2 linked regions of the Arabidopsis thaliana genome follow. Each later gene encodes a partner of the first gene's protein in a complex. Each region holds a gene or a part of one and is shown in the gene's direction. Other genes may lie near its edges. The genes, in order: AT2G20360 and AT5G11770.

Region 1 (6,182 bases):
GAACAGAAATAACCCCCAAAAATATTTCAAAAAGCTCGAAAACATATGGTTCCATTTTGTATAGCGTTGCACAATGTAATGCTAAATCAAAAGAGTAGATTAGATATATAAGATAGAAAAAAAAAAGAGCAAAAAGGATAGAACAAAGTATTATAGATAGAATGTCATTGGGCAAAATTAATCCAAGGACTGATACATACAAGTATACAACCATCGTATTAACCTATGAAAAAGTATTGCAAAATATAAAATGATTTTTAAAACAATGAAATTACACCTATCCAATTGTTACGAATGAAACTCAACTTTTAAACACTAAAAAAATGTGTATATTTGCAGTCCAGATTACAAAATAAACCATTATATAATAGGATCCAACTGTATTTTGACTTAAATAAGGTAGTTGAAAATATCTTGACTAAGAAGTATATTTGGTTTACTCGGTGTCAAGACTAATAATAATTAGTAAGTAGTGTATCGAATAAATATAGCAATCGCTTTTGCAGAAAATAAATATCTACTGAACAGATGTATCGTTCTCAAAGGAAAAAAACAACACTAATTGGTGCCGCGTATCTAAAGATTTGCATGGGACCATATGTCTAGTAGTCTAGTACCATATAAACCTTTTTTTGCTTACTCGTCAGTAGTTTCTTTTGAAATCTTCACAACACTTTCAACACTTCTCAGTGACCGTGAGCAACGAATTATTTTCAGTTCAACGACTCCGCGGAAATGGAAAATTCAGAAAATGTTCCCTCTTACGATCAAAACATCAATTTCACTCCTAATTTGACGAGAGATCAAGAACATGTGATCATGGTCTCTGCTTTGCAACAAGTAATATCCAACGTCGGAGGTGACACGAACTCGAATGCATGGGAAGCTGATCTTCCACCTTTGAACGCTGGCCCTTGTCCTCTTTGTAGTGTCACCGGCTGCTACGGTTGCGTCTTCCCACGACACGAGGCGATAATTAAGAAGGAGAAGAAGCACAAAGGAGTGAGGAAAAAACCATCAGGTAAGTTCTATTCTAATACAAGCTTTGAGTTTTTCTAGTACTAGCTAGTTTTAGTTCATGTATTTTCATATATATATAAGCCACGAGCCCATGAGGTAAACTATGTTCCAATACGTTAGCATGCAGTTGATGTACTTTCATAAACCATCAGGTAAATGGGCGGCGGAGATATGGGATCCGAGTTTGAAAGTAAGGAGATGGCTTGGAACGTTTCCAACAGCGGAGATGGCGGCTAAGGCTTACAACGATGCGGCGGCTGAGTTTGTCGGAAGAAGATCAGCAAGACGTGGCACAAAGAACGGAGAGGAAGCATCTACCAAGAAGACGACTGAGAAAAATTAACGGAGAAGGAGCACGTATAGAAAGGCAGGAAGAGGCATCTTACTTGCTTCACAAGTAAATCAGAATTTTTTTGAAAAGTAAAAACGTTATTTTGTTTGGTAATAAAATAAAGTAAAACAAAATATTGCTAACGCAAGACTTATCAAGTTCAGTCGTGACTGTGAGTGTGTTTTTATGTATCTTACTTCATTTTTTGTCTTTCAATTGTGTGTGTGTGTGTGTTTTTTTTTTTTTTTATAATCTATTTGGTTTGGGTTTATTGTGACCAATGACAAGAAAAGTCTATATTTTATAGTTAGACGTATTATATATATCATGAGATAATATACAAGCAAACACAATTGTAAGCATATATAAAAATCAATCAAGTTGTTATGATATTTATGATAACTTTAAACTTTGATTAACAAGAAAGGTAATCCAATAGTAATATTTGTCATACGGTGCCGTTTCACTAATAAATGGGCTTACGTAATACGGACCAACACAAAGTGACGTGGTTTCATTTTAAAGGTGTTACTTATCGTCGCCAATGAGATATTGTCAAGGCCCAGGCCCATTTGCTTGTATCCTCGAGGCAGCAAATTCTTGTATTCCATTTCTCTCCTCTTCTTCCTCTTTCTCTCTCTCACATCTGTATTTGTTGTCTCGATCGTGTAACTGAGAACGAAGGATGCAAGTAGTTTCCAGGAGATTAGTTCAACGGCCTCTCGTCGGAGGAGCTTCGATCTATTCATCTTCTTCTCTCAGATCGCTCTACGGAGTCTCTAATCACCGTTAAGTTTCTGCCATTGATTTTTTTCTTATATCAATTGGGATTTCTAGGTTACTTATGTTATGAGTCTCGGGCTAATGAGAGATTTGTGTTTTTAATGATTTTGTGTGTTTCCTCTGATTTTAATTAGTGAATGGGACTGATAATTGTCGCTATTCGTCTTCCCTCGCTACTAAGGGCGTGGGACACCTCGCTCGCAAGGGTACTGGTGGGAGATCTTCCGTAAGGTATGCCATTGCTCTTTTTTAGGGTTTGTTTCCTTTAGAAAATGTTTGAGAATTCATATAGGAAGGAGAAACGATATTGGTCTCTGTTAGGATTTAAGTAGGCTTAGTCTATAGCTTTGTTTAGTTTTGAGCTTAAGAGATAGCTTTCATGAATTACTTTCCTTCATGGAGAAATGTATCGTCTCTAATGGGTTTGCAGTAGCTTCAGTTTAGTGAACTTTTCTCGAGAGCTTTCTGTTCCGTTTGTCATGGGAATGAGAAATGTTCTTGCCGTGTTATGTTAAAGCATGCTTATTCTGTATATCTTTTGTTAAGTTTCGAGCTTAGAGGATAGATATTGTAAATTACTTGCCTTTGCGGAGAAATGTATCATCTTTAAGGGGTTTTTGGTAGCTTTAGCACAGCTAATTTGTAGTTTTTTCGAGAGTTTTCTGTTAAGAGGAAAAGAAGTATATGAAAATCTTAATTTCTCCTTTGCTTTGGCAGTGGCATTGTAGCTACAGTATTTGGAGCCACAGGATTTCTGGGTCGTTATCTTGTGCAGCAGCTAGGTGAGTTGGGTTTATCATTGGTATTACCAGTTGGGTAAATCAATCTTGTTTTTTATTTTGTACATTTGTTGATTTTATTTTGTTACTTGCTAAACTCGAGTGAATCTTTTCTACTAGCTAAAATGGGATCACAAGTGCTTGTTCCTTTCCGAGGCTCAGAGGACTCTCCTCGACATCTCAAGTTGATGGGAGATTTAGGACAGGTAATGTATTCTTTTATTTAACATAATGCTTTCGAGGGTATGCAACAAAAAAACATCTTTACAAAAAACTATGCATTGGATCGGCAAATTTGATGTGTGTTTGTTGCCTGTATATTCCAGGTGGTACCAATGAAATTTGATCCAAGAGATGAAGACTCGATTAAGGCTGTCATGGCCAAGGCTAATGTCGTTATCAATCTAATTGGTGATATTTTGTTGTCTATCTTAATTTTTTCTAGCAAGTATAGTTAAACTTAAAACCATTAAAAAAGTAGCACTGTTCTTTCCATTTTGGATGATATTTATTCTACTCCTCAGGAAGAGAGTACGAGACAAGAAATTTCAGTTTTGAAGATGCGAATCATCATATTGCTGAGAAACTTGCATTGGTATGTGTTTGAATCCTGACAAAATGCGAATCATCTTTTGAATTGTTTCCAAAAAATCCGGTGAACAGGTTTCCATTTTTTTACCCCTCAGAATGTTGCCTACATCTGCAATGAGCTACACATTTTTAACCTTTGGGATGATACGATCTGCTATGGTTTGCTCTTTTGGTTATTTCTGATTAGATTGGACTTTGTGGATATGTTGTTTCAGGTGGCCAAGGAACACGGTGGGATAATGAGATATATTCAAGTTTCTTGCCTAGGAGCTTCTGTGTCATCTCCTTCAAGAATGCTGAGGGCAAAAGCTGCTGCTGAGGAAGCTGTCTTGAACGCACTGCCTGAGGTATACTTACCCGGCTTTCGGTACACATAACTCTCTCTGTTGTAATTATTATCATCGTAATATTTTATTCAATATTCATGGTCCTGCTTCTTTTTCAGAGAAAAGAAAGATCCTTTAGATTTTTTTGTGCAGAACTGGGAAAACCGTATATGATGTTATTATTAAATTCTAAAACCTTATAAATTTTGAAAGCAAAAGTGAACCTGGGATGGTTAATATAAACTTTTTGTCATCAGCATGCTGCTTCTAGTCAGTTCATGATATATATGTGTTTTGTAGGCAACCATCATGAGACCTGCAACCATGATTGGTACAGAAGACAGAATCTTGAACCCCTGGTCAATGTTCGTTAAAAAATATGGTTTCCTCCCGCTCATAGGTGGTGGAACCACCAAGTACGTCTTGAATTCTTTGTGCAATTCTTTTCACTGGTTCATAGCAACTTGAAATGTAGATTTAGTTCCGTCCCTAACGATAACTCTACTGCAGATTCCAGCCTGTTTATGTGGTTGATGTTGCTGCTGCGATTGTTGCTGCTCTAAAGGATGATGGCTCCAGCATGGGGAAAACATACGAATTGGGTGGTCCAGATGTCTTTACCACTCACGAGTTGGTAAATTCTTTTAATCCTTCATTCTCTGTGTCACTATCCTAGCTCAGTGGGTTTGATTTCCAAGTATGTCTTGCAGGCAGAGATCATGTATGATATGATTCGTGAATGGCCTCGGTATGTGAAGCTTCCGTTTCCAATTGCCAAGGTAAAAGATCGAATCGTGCACTGTCCATGGAAGAAACTCCAAAGAATTTTTGTTTTCCTCTTGAAATACTGTAATACTAATTTCACATATGTCACAATCTGTTCCAGGCAATGGCGGCTCCTCGAGACTTCATGGTGAACAAAGTCCCGTTCCCCTTACCCTCTCCTCAGATCTTCAACCTGGATCAAATCAATGCACTTACAACCGATACACTTGTATCTGACAACGGTTAGTCATTATTCATAGAAGTGAAATGAGTTATTTTCCTTGAGTTAATTGAGTCTCACTTTTTATTGTACAACAATGGCTATTTCAGCCTTGAAGTTTCAGGATCTGGACCTTGTCCCCCATAAATTGAAGGGATATCCGGTCGAGTTTCTTATCCAATATCGCAAGGGTGGTCCTAACTTCGGTTCTACTGTCAGTGAAAAGATACCAACAGACTTCTACCCTTGATGCTGCTTCTCTGCTCAAAGGTCATTTCCTGGACTAATTTTTTCATGCAAGTGTCACAATGAGATTGCGGAAACCAGATTTGCTATGTTGATGACTTTCATTTACTTCTGTCAATAATAAACGGGTCCTCCTCTTTGTTGTGTTCTTGAAAAAATTATAACACATCAACATCATTATAAGTTAGAGAGGGGACAATATATTTCTTGATGTGGTTGGTCCCTTAGGATTTATGCAATGTCTGGTTCGTTTCGAACTCCATGTACTACTTCCCTTGAGTAAAACTAAAGCCATATGCTTTCATCTTTGCATTACATATAGCTCGGTGTTGTATGTTTTACTTACGACAAAACGTATCAACATGCATCTGTATGCAATAGAGGTTAAACCCTGAGTAATTTGAAGTTTCCTTTACATGGTCAAGAAGGTATTTCGACTCCGTTATCTCCCAGTAATGAAACATTGATGTCCATTAACCCATCTTGAGGCCTTCGGTATCCTTAATTTAGGGGTGGGTAAGGAATCTAGTTTATGCAAATCGTAGAATAATTCACTTTGCTTCTGGCTATAGAAAAAGTAAAGAACTTTAGGGAACCCCAAGAACCAAGCAAAGCATATAGAGCAAATATCATCTCTGGAGAGACAGGATAGACTCATTTTTGCAGTCTGTACCAAAATGGAAGATGACGGAGACTATCCCGAACCCGAATCTGGCAGTGGTGGAATAAACTTAAACGGGAGAAATGTTGGTGCGGTGATGGTGGCGCCTAGGGATGTAGACATAGCGAGTCAAAGTGGTTGCAGGATCAATATCTACGTGAACAGCAATGTTCAAGCAACATGTGGTTCAGCTTTGATCGGTAGCAAGGTTAAGCTAAGAGATCCTGGTGTTCATCTCCATATAGATGACGTTAAAATGACCCGCGACGATACCATATCTAGACAGAAGGAGATGACCTTGATTAAGGTTGGGTTATGTTTGGTCTGTCTTTTTAACATGTTTCTAGTATTCATTCTCTTCCTCTCCTCTTGGTTCCGGAAGGAAAGTGGTTCCGTATAGATCTCCCCATCAACCGATGATCATGCTAAGAAGTAAGAACGATCTCGCCTATAATTGTTT
Region 2 (4,919 bases), on another chromosome or scaffold:
TGAAGTTAGATGCAGATATGGCTCCAGCAGCATCTTGAGAATGACATCTGTCACAAGAACAAGAACACATGATTGAAAACAAAACCAATTGAGACATCTGGAAGCTTATGAAAAAGGAGTCACTAGTCACATAATGCTTCTCTATTTCCCACAGAATGCAAAGTAGCTAAAGAAAAAGTAACACTCACCAAAAAAGAAGCAACTGTGGAACCCAGATATCATCTGAAGCACAGATTCCTGCAGATCTTTATCTAGCTCGGATCTACCTAAGTCCAAATCAAACCTCGAGCACAAACTGAGCAAGAAAACCTGAGAAGCTACGATTCCAGCTAAGTAACCAACGCCACAGGACTCAGAATCGATCTCTTTACGCAAAATTTCACTAGCAAATGGCATGAACACCTCCAAACAATCCTCAACTCTACAATTATCTTCCACTTCATCCACAACCCAAACTCGACTCAAATCAGCAAAACTAAACCCAGAGACCATCAACACATCATCATCTTCATTTCCAGGTTCATCGACACAGTACATGCTAATATAGCTCACAATCCCTTCTAACAAGCTCAAAGCATCTCTCCTCCTAGAAATAACTAAACGACTCAACTGGTAAACAACGGGAGATAACAGCGATACCTTCTTAACACCGGAAAACGAATCGGAAAACGAAACTATCAGCTGGAAGAAACACGAAGTTAACCTAACGGAATCATCCCGGAAAGCTAACTTGGAAGAGTAGAATCTGATGGCGGAGTAGAACCAGACGAGCTCGAGAGGTGGTGGTTCGGGAAGATCGTTAAGAATACGAGTGAAAATGGAGTCGAAATCGGAGAAATTGGTTCGTCCGCCTCGGTACTGTAACAAGAGCTGCTTGATCGAGTCATTGAGAAGCGGTTTCAGAAATTCGAGGTGACTCTGAGGTCTGGGTTTACAAATCGGAGGTTGCATTTTGGGAATTTTCCGGTGACAGAGAAGGGATTTTGAATTTTGGGAAGTTGGAAGGAAACAGAGAAACCCTATTGAAATTCAAAGAAAAGGGAACGAATAAAGAGAGGGAATCCCAATGTTAAACATAAAAAAAAAATGTGTACATTACATTTTCAAATTGAGTTCACTCCAAAAACGTACAAGACTACTAGTATATTTGTTTTATTTTCATTATGGCAAATACGATAAATGATTTATAAGTGTGGATTAACGAAAATTGCTAGTTACTAAATGATTTATGAAGTAAGGATAAATGCAAATTTCGAAAATTGGCTAATCAGCTAATTTGCCTAAAAGAAATAAAGAGAAAATGCTATGACTTGATCCATTTTTAGCCTTTCTACTTCTTTTCTTTTTGGTCATATGAAACTTTATCAATACAACTTATGTAGAATCATCTTAAAATACAACTTCTAATCAAGAGAAACTTAAACCGACAGACAAAATAAAGTTTTCGTAATTACGAAAAAGTGATTTCTCCAGAATCTAAACCCTATGAACAAAAGACTTAAAACGTCGTAAATACGAACATGAATTTTTAAAACAAATAGAAAGATTTTTCCTAATTATACTGTTATACATCATGTGATTTCTCCAATTCATATCAAAATACAATTGGCTCTACACATTCCATATAAATTTTCTATCTATTTTTTTTTCTTCCTTTTCTTGATATCACGAGTCATACAACCACAATCAAAAACTTAATACTTTTAAAGATTTGATAAATTTTCTGTCTAAATAGTTTTTGTAATGAGAAAGTTACAAGAGTAAATTATTATTGCCAAGTCATTGTTTTATGAAATAAATGAAATACTGTACAAAAGGTGAAAAAAAATGATACGATTACGAGTCATATAAATACTTCGCCACCTGCGTTTAGTAAATGGTTAGAGACTCGTTTGGTTATCACAACTCCACGACGAGAGGAAAAAAAAAACTCAGAGAGACAAATCTAAATGGCGATGATTACGCGCAACACCGCCACGCGCCTCCCTCTCCTCCTCCAATCTCAACGCGCCGTCGCCGCTGCCTCGGTCTCTCACCTCCACACATCCCTTCCCGCTCTCTCTCCCTCCACATCACCGACTTCCTACACCAGACCTGGTCCTCCTTCGACCTCCCCTCCTCCTCCTGGTCTCTCTAAAGCGGCCGAATTTGTGATCTCCAAGGTCGATGATCTCATGAACTGGGCTCGTACCGGATCGATCTGGCCTATGACCTTTGGTCTCGCTTGCTGCGCCGTCGAAATGATGCATACCGGTGCTGCTCGCTACGATCTCGATCGATTCGGTATCATCTTCAGGCCTAGTCCTCGCCAGTCTGATTGTATGATTGTCGCCGGTACTCTTACCAATAAGATGGCTCCGGCTCTTCGCAAGTACGCTTATCTTTCTCTATCTCCCTTATTCATGGAATTAACGGCTGATTTATATCTTTGGATCTCGGATATAGTTTTGTCGTGGGAAGATTTCTTCTAATTTCACTTTGTGCGTTTTCTGCTTTAGAGGCCTCTGAATTAGGTTTTCGGAGGATATAATTTGGGGGTTTCTATTGGAATTTATTCTTTTCCGGCGATTTTAGGGTTCATGTATTCTGATTGTATTGCTAGGTCTGTGACAAATTGAGAATTGCTGTATGGATATAAGAATGACTTGGGAAGCTATACAGTTCGTATTCATTGTCTAGCGCAGATTTAACTAGTGTTTCGTCAAGTTTTTTGTTCGAATTTCATGAAATTGGGAGCGTTTTAATTAAGGGATGAACAAATATGGTGGAGTTATATCTCTTTTTATGTGAGCTCTGTGCCCGTCTTTTGAGGGGAGTTAGGAATTTCAGATTTTCTAGCTTGGTGTTCATTAGGGAAACATGTGTTAGTGTCTTACTAGTAAGAGGTTGGAGGTTCATTGTTATGATGTTTTCATTATCTTGTTTTGTAGTTCCGTCTGTTGACTGATTAGAATCTTGCGTGATGATTTTGCTTAGTTAGAATCTGAGACTTGATGCACATATTTTCTGCTTGGTGTGTGTTTTATAGGAAATTGATATCCGGCACACTTAAGAGATTCCTCTTTTTTTTGTTTGATGTATGAAGTCTTCATTCAAGTGTAGAACTTATGTTCTTTAGATGAGAATCCTGTTGTTAAGAAACGTATGCCAATGGCTGCTGTGCTTATATTAATGATAACTTTAGGCCCAGACACTTAGAAAATATCCCAAGTCAATCTTAATAGCTAGAGGTTGTGTAAACATCAACCAATAAGACGAGCACATTTTAGATGCATTCGGGAGATGATTAACTGCTTTCTAAGTTGGTTTAGATTAGTTCTTATACTGAATTTAACTATTAGTCAGAAACTAGTATATAGAGATATGTGCAGAAATCAGTCTTGATCTGGTAAGATTGAGAGAAGTTGTATATGCGGATCAACTCAAATGATTTATGGTTCTGTTCTTCTTTATCCTGTGTGAAATTCCAACTTCTAATGTTTGAATACAATCACAGGGTTTATGACCAGATGCCTGAGCCAAGGTGGGTGATTTCAATGGGAAGTTGTGCCAATGGAGGTGGATACTATCACTACTCCTACTCGGTGGTTCGAGGATGTGACAGAATTGTCCCAGTCGACATATACGTCCCGGGGTGCCCACCAACCGCTGAGGCTTTGCTCTATGGACTACTCCAGCTTCAGAAGAAAATCAACAGGCGCAAGGATTTCTTGCATTGGTGGAACAAGTGAGCTTCGAACCCGTCCTCCAATCGTGAAAGGGACTTTTTTCAGACATTTTTACCAAAGTTTGGGGATAATAAATCGTGGACGTTTCATTGCATATTTCTTTGTGGTGGAGATGCCATGTAAAGGAGTGTGTTTCTAAGTTTGTTGTGGAAACTTAATAAACTTAAGATGTTTGTTGTCTGAGTTCTTTTATGGGCTCTTTTATTATATATCTCTCTCTACCAGTTTTCAGCTACATGCTGACTATTGCTAAATACCTACATATATTTATACATACGAGTGTGTTTTGTAGAGCTTATACAGTACAATACAAAAGCTTAGTACGGACAAACGAGTGTCTGACATGCATAATGTTTGGTCGTTGTGTACTCTTGATGCTTTCAGGTGAATACACTTTTCAGTCTCATCTATTGTTACTCTTAACCTTACATATTGTGAAAAAGTAATTTTGATCATACTTATACTTTTGATGTTTTTACTAAAGATAGAATTTTTTTCCATCGATTAATTGCAGACTACTACACAAATGGTTTAGAGTTTAGACCATAAGTCATACATAATGGCTTTGACAGGGAAGAACAAATTAAGATGGTATACATTATAGTTGCTGGAAAACAAAATTCCATGTATAAGAAATCTTAATCCTTCGAGTAAATAAAGACAGATATTTCCTCAGACTAGAGCAGAACTAGGTAGAGAGTAAAATGTAATTTTTTTTCTCATCAAACATGAACAAGAACGAAAAATATGGTTTTAAGTTATAAGATCATACATCCATTAATAGCAGAACGAGTTAAATCTCCTTTGGCACCATAAAACAAAAGGTTCAAAACGAAATGGTTTAAGAAGATTTAGAAGCAACAATAACAGTCAAAGGGACAAAAACGAGTACCACCAGCATCTTTCCTGTTGAAACCAATTTCATTTTCCGTGAACACTCGTAACCCGTCTTCAGTTGTCTTCCTGGGTCGGCTATCTTCCGTATCGTTATTAAAAATACTCGAGCTGGGTCGGCTTTCCCTGTTGTTACGGAGAGTTCTCGTCCTGAGTGGTCGTCTCGTCCTGAGGAGTCGTCTCGTCCTGGATCGGGGTCCCGTGTCGTTACTGAGAATTCTCGTCCTAGGTCGGCTTTCAGTGTTGTTATTGACCCCAACATTGAGCTCATTCATCTCAGCTCTAGTGTCTCTCGAC

What was found.
Region 2: the proteins of AT2G20360 (region 1) and AT5G11770 are in contact, whole or in part, in a cryo-EM structure (PDB 8BEE), measured with the Arabidopsis thaliana proteins. Residues at the interface, in NP_565469.1 of Arabidopsis thaliana: Arg100 (codon at 3,066), Gly101 (codon at 3,069), Ser102 (codon at 3,072), Glu103 (codon at 3,075), Asp104 (codon at 3,078), Arg107 (codon at 3,087), Lys110 (codon at 3,096), Leu111 (codon at 3,099), Lys122 (codon at 3,252), Thr151 (codon at 3,452), Arg152 (codon at 3,455), Asn153 (codon at 3,458), Phe154 (codon at 3,461), Pro330 (codon at 4,756), Phe331 (codon at 4,759), Pro332 (codon at 4,762); in NP_196738.1 of Arabidopsis thaliana: Arg140 (codon at 2,367), Glu148 (codon at 3,516), Arg150 (codon at 3,522), Trp151 (codon at 3,525), Asp176 (codon at 3,600), Arg177 (codon at 3,603), Ile178 (codon at 3,606), Val179 (codon at 3,609), Pro180 (codon at 3,612), Val181 (codon at 3,615), Asp182 (codon at 3,618), Lys205 (codon at 3,687), Arg208 (codon at 3,696), Arg209 (codon at 3,699), His214 (codon at 3,714), Trp215 (codon at 3,717), Trp216 (codon at 3,720), Asn217 (codon at 3,723), Lys218 (codon at 3,726).

What each region holds. Positions count from the first base shown.
Region 1 is NC_003071.7:8,784,034-8,790,215, forward strand, and holds AT2G20360 (NAD(P)-binding Rossmann-fold superfamily protein), read left to right. Parts: upstream 1-1,926; 5' UTR 1,927-2,036; coding exon 2,037-2,139; intron 2,140-2,268; coding exon 2,269-2,365; intron 2,366-2,851; coding exon 2,852-2,916; intron 2,917-3,033; coding exon 3,034-3,119; intron 3,120-3,239; coding exon 3,240-3,324; intron 3,325-3,437; coding exon 3,438-3,508; intron 3,509-3,719; coding exon 3,720-3,851; intron 3,852-4,130; coding exon 4,131-4,246; intron 4,247-4,340; coding exon 4,341-4,464; intron 4,465-4,540; coding exon 4,541-4,609; intron 4,610-4,716; coding exon 4,717-4,837; intron 4,838-4,925; coding exon 4,926-5,065; 3' UTR 5,066-5,537; downstream 5,538-6,182. Other genes in the region: AT2G20350 (Integrase-type DNA-binding superfamily protein), read left to right, coding at 736-1,021, 1,173-1,363; AT2G20362 (uncharacterized protein), read left to right, coding at 5,739-6,122. UniProt on the Arabidopsis thaliana protein: Accessory subunit of the mitochondrial membrane respiratory chain NADH dehydrogenase (Complex I), that is believed not to be involved in catalysis. Complex I functions in the transfer of electrons from NADH to the respiratory chain.
Region 2 is NC_003076.8:3,789,960-3,794,878, reverse strand, and holds AT5G11770 (NADH-ubiquinone oxidoreductase 20 kDa subunit), read left to right. Parts: upstream 1-1,852; 5' UTR 1,853-1,949; coding exon 1,950-2,371; intron 2,372-3,496; coding exon 3,497-3,731; 3' UTR 3,732-4,171; downstream 4,172-4,919. Other genes in the region: AT5G11780 (SNF2 domain protein), read right to left, coding at 1-47, 189-951; AT5G11760 (stress response protein), read right to left, coding at 4,580-4,919. UniProt on the Arabidopsis thaliana protein: Core subunit of the mitochondrial membrane respiratory chain NADH dehydrogenase (Complex I) that is believed to belong to the minimal assembly required for catalysis. Complex I functions in the transfer of electrons from NADH to the respiratory chain.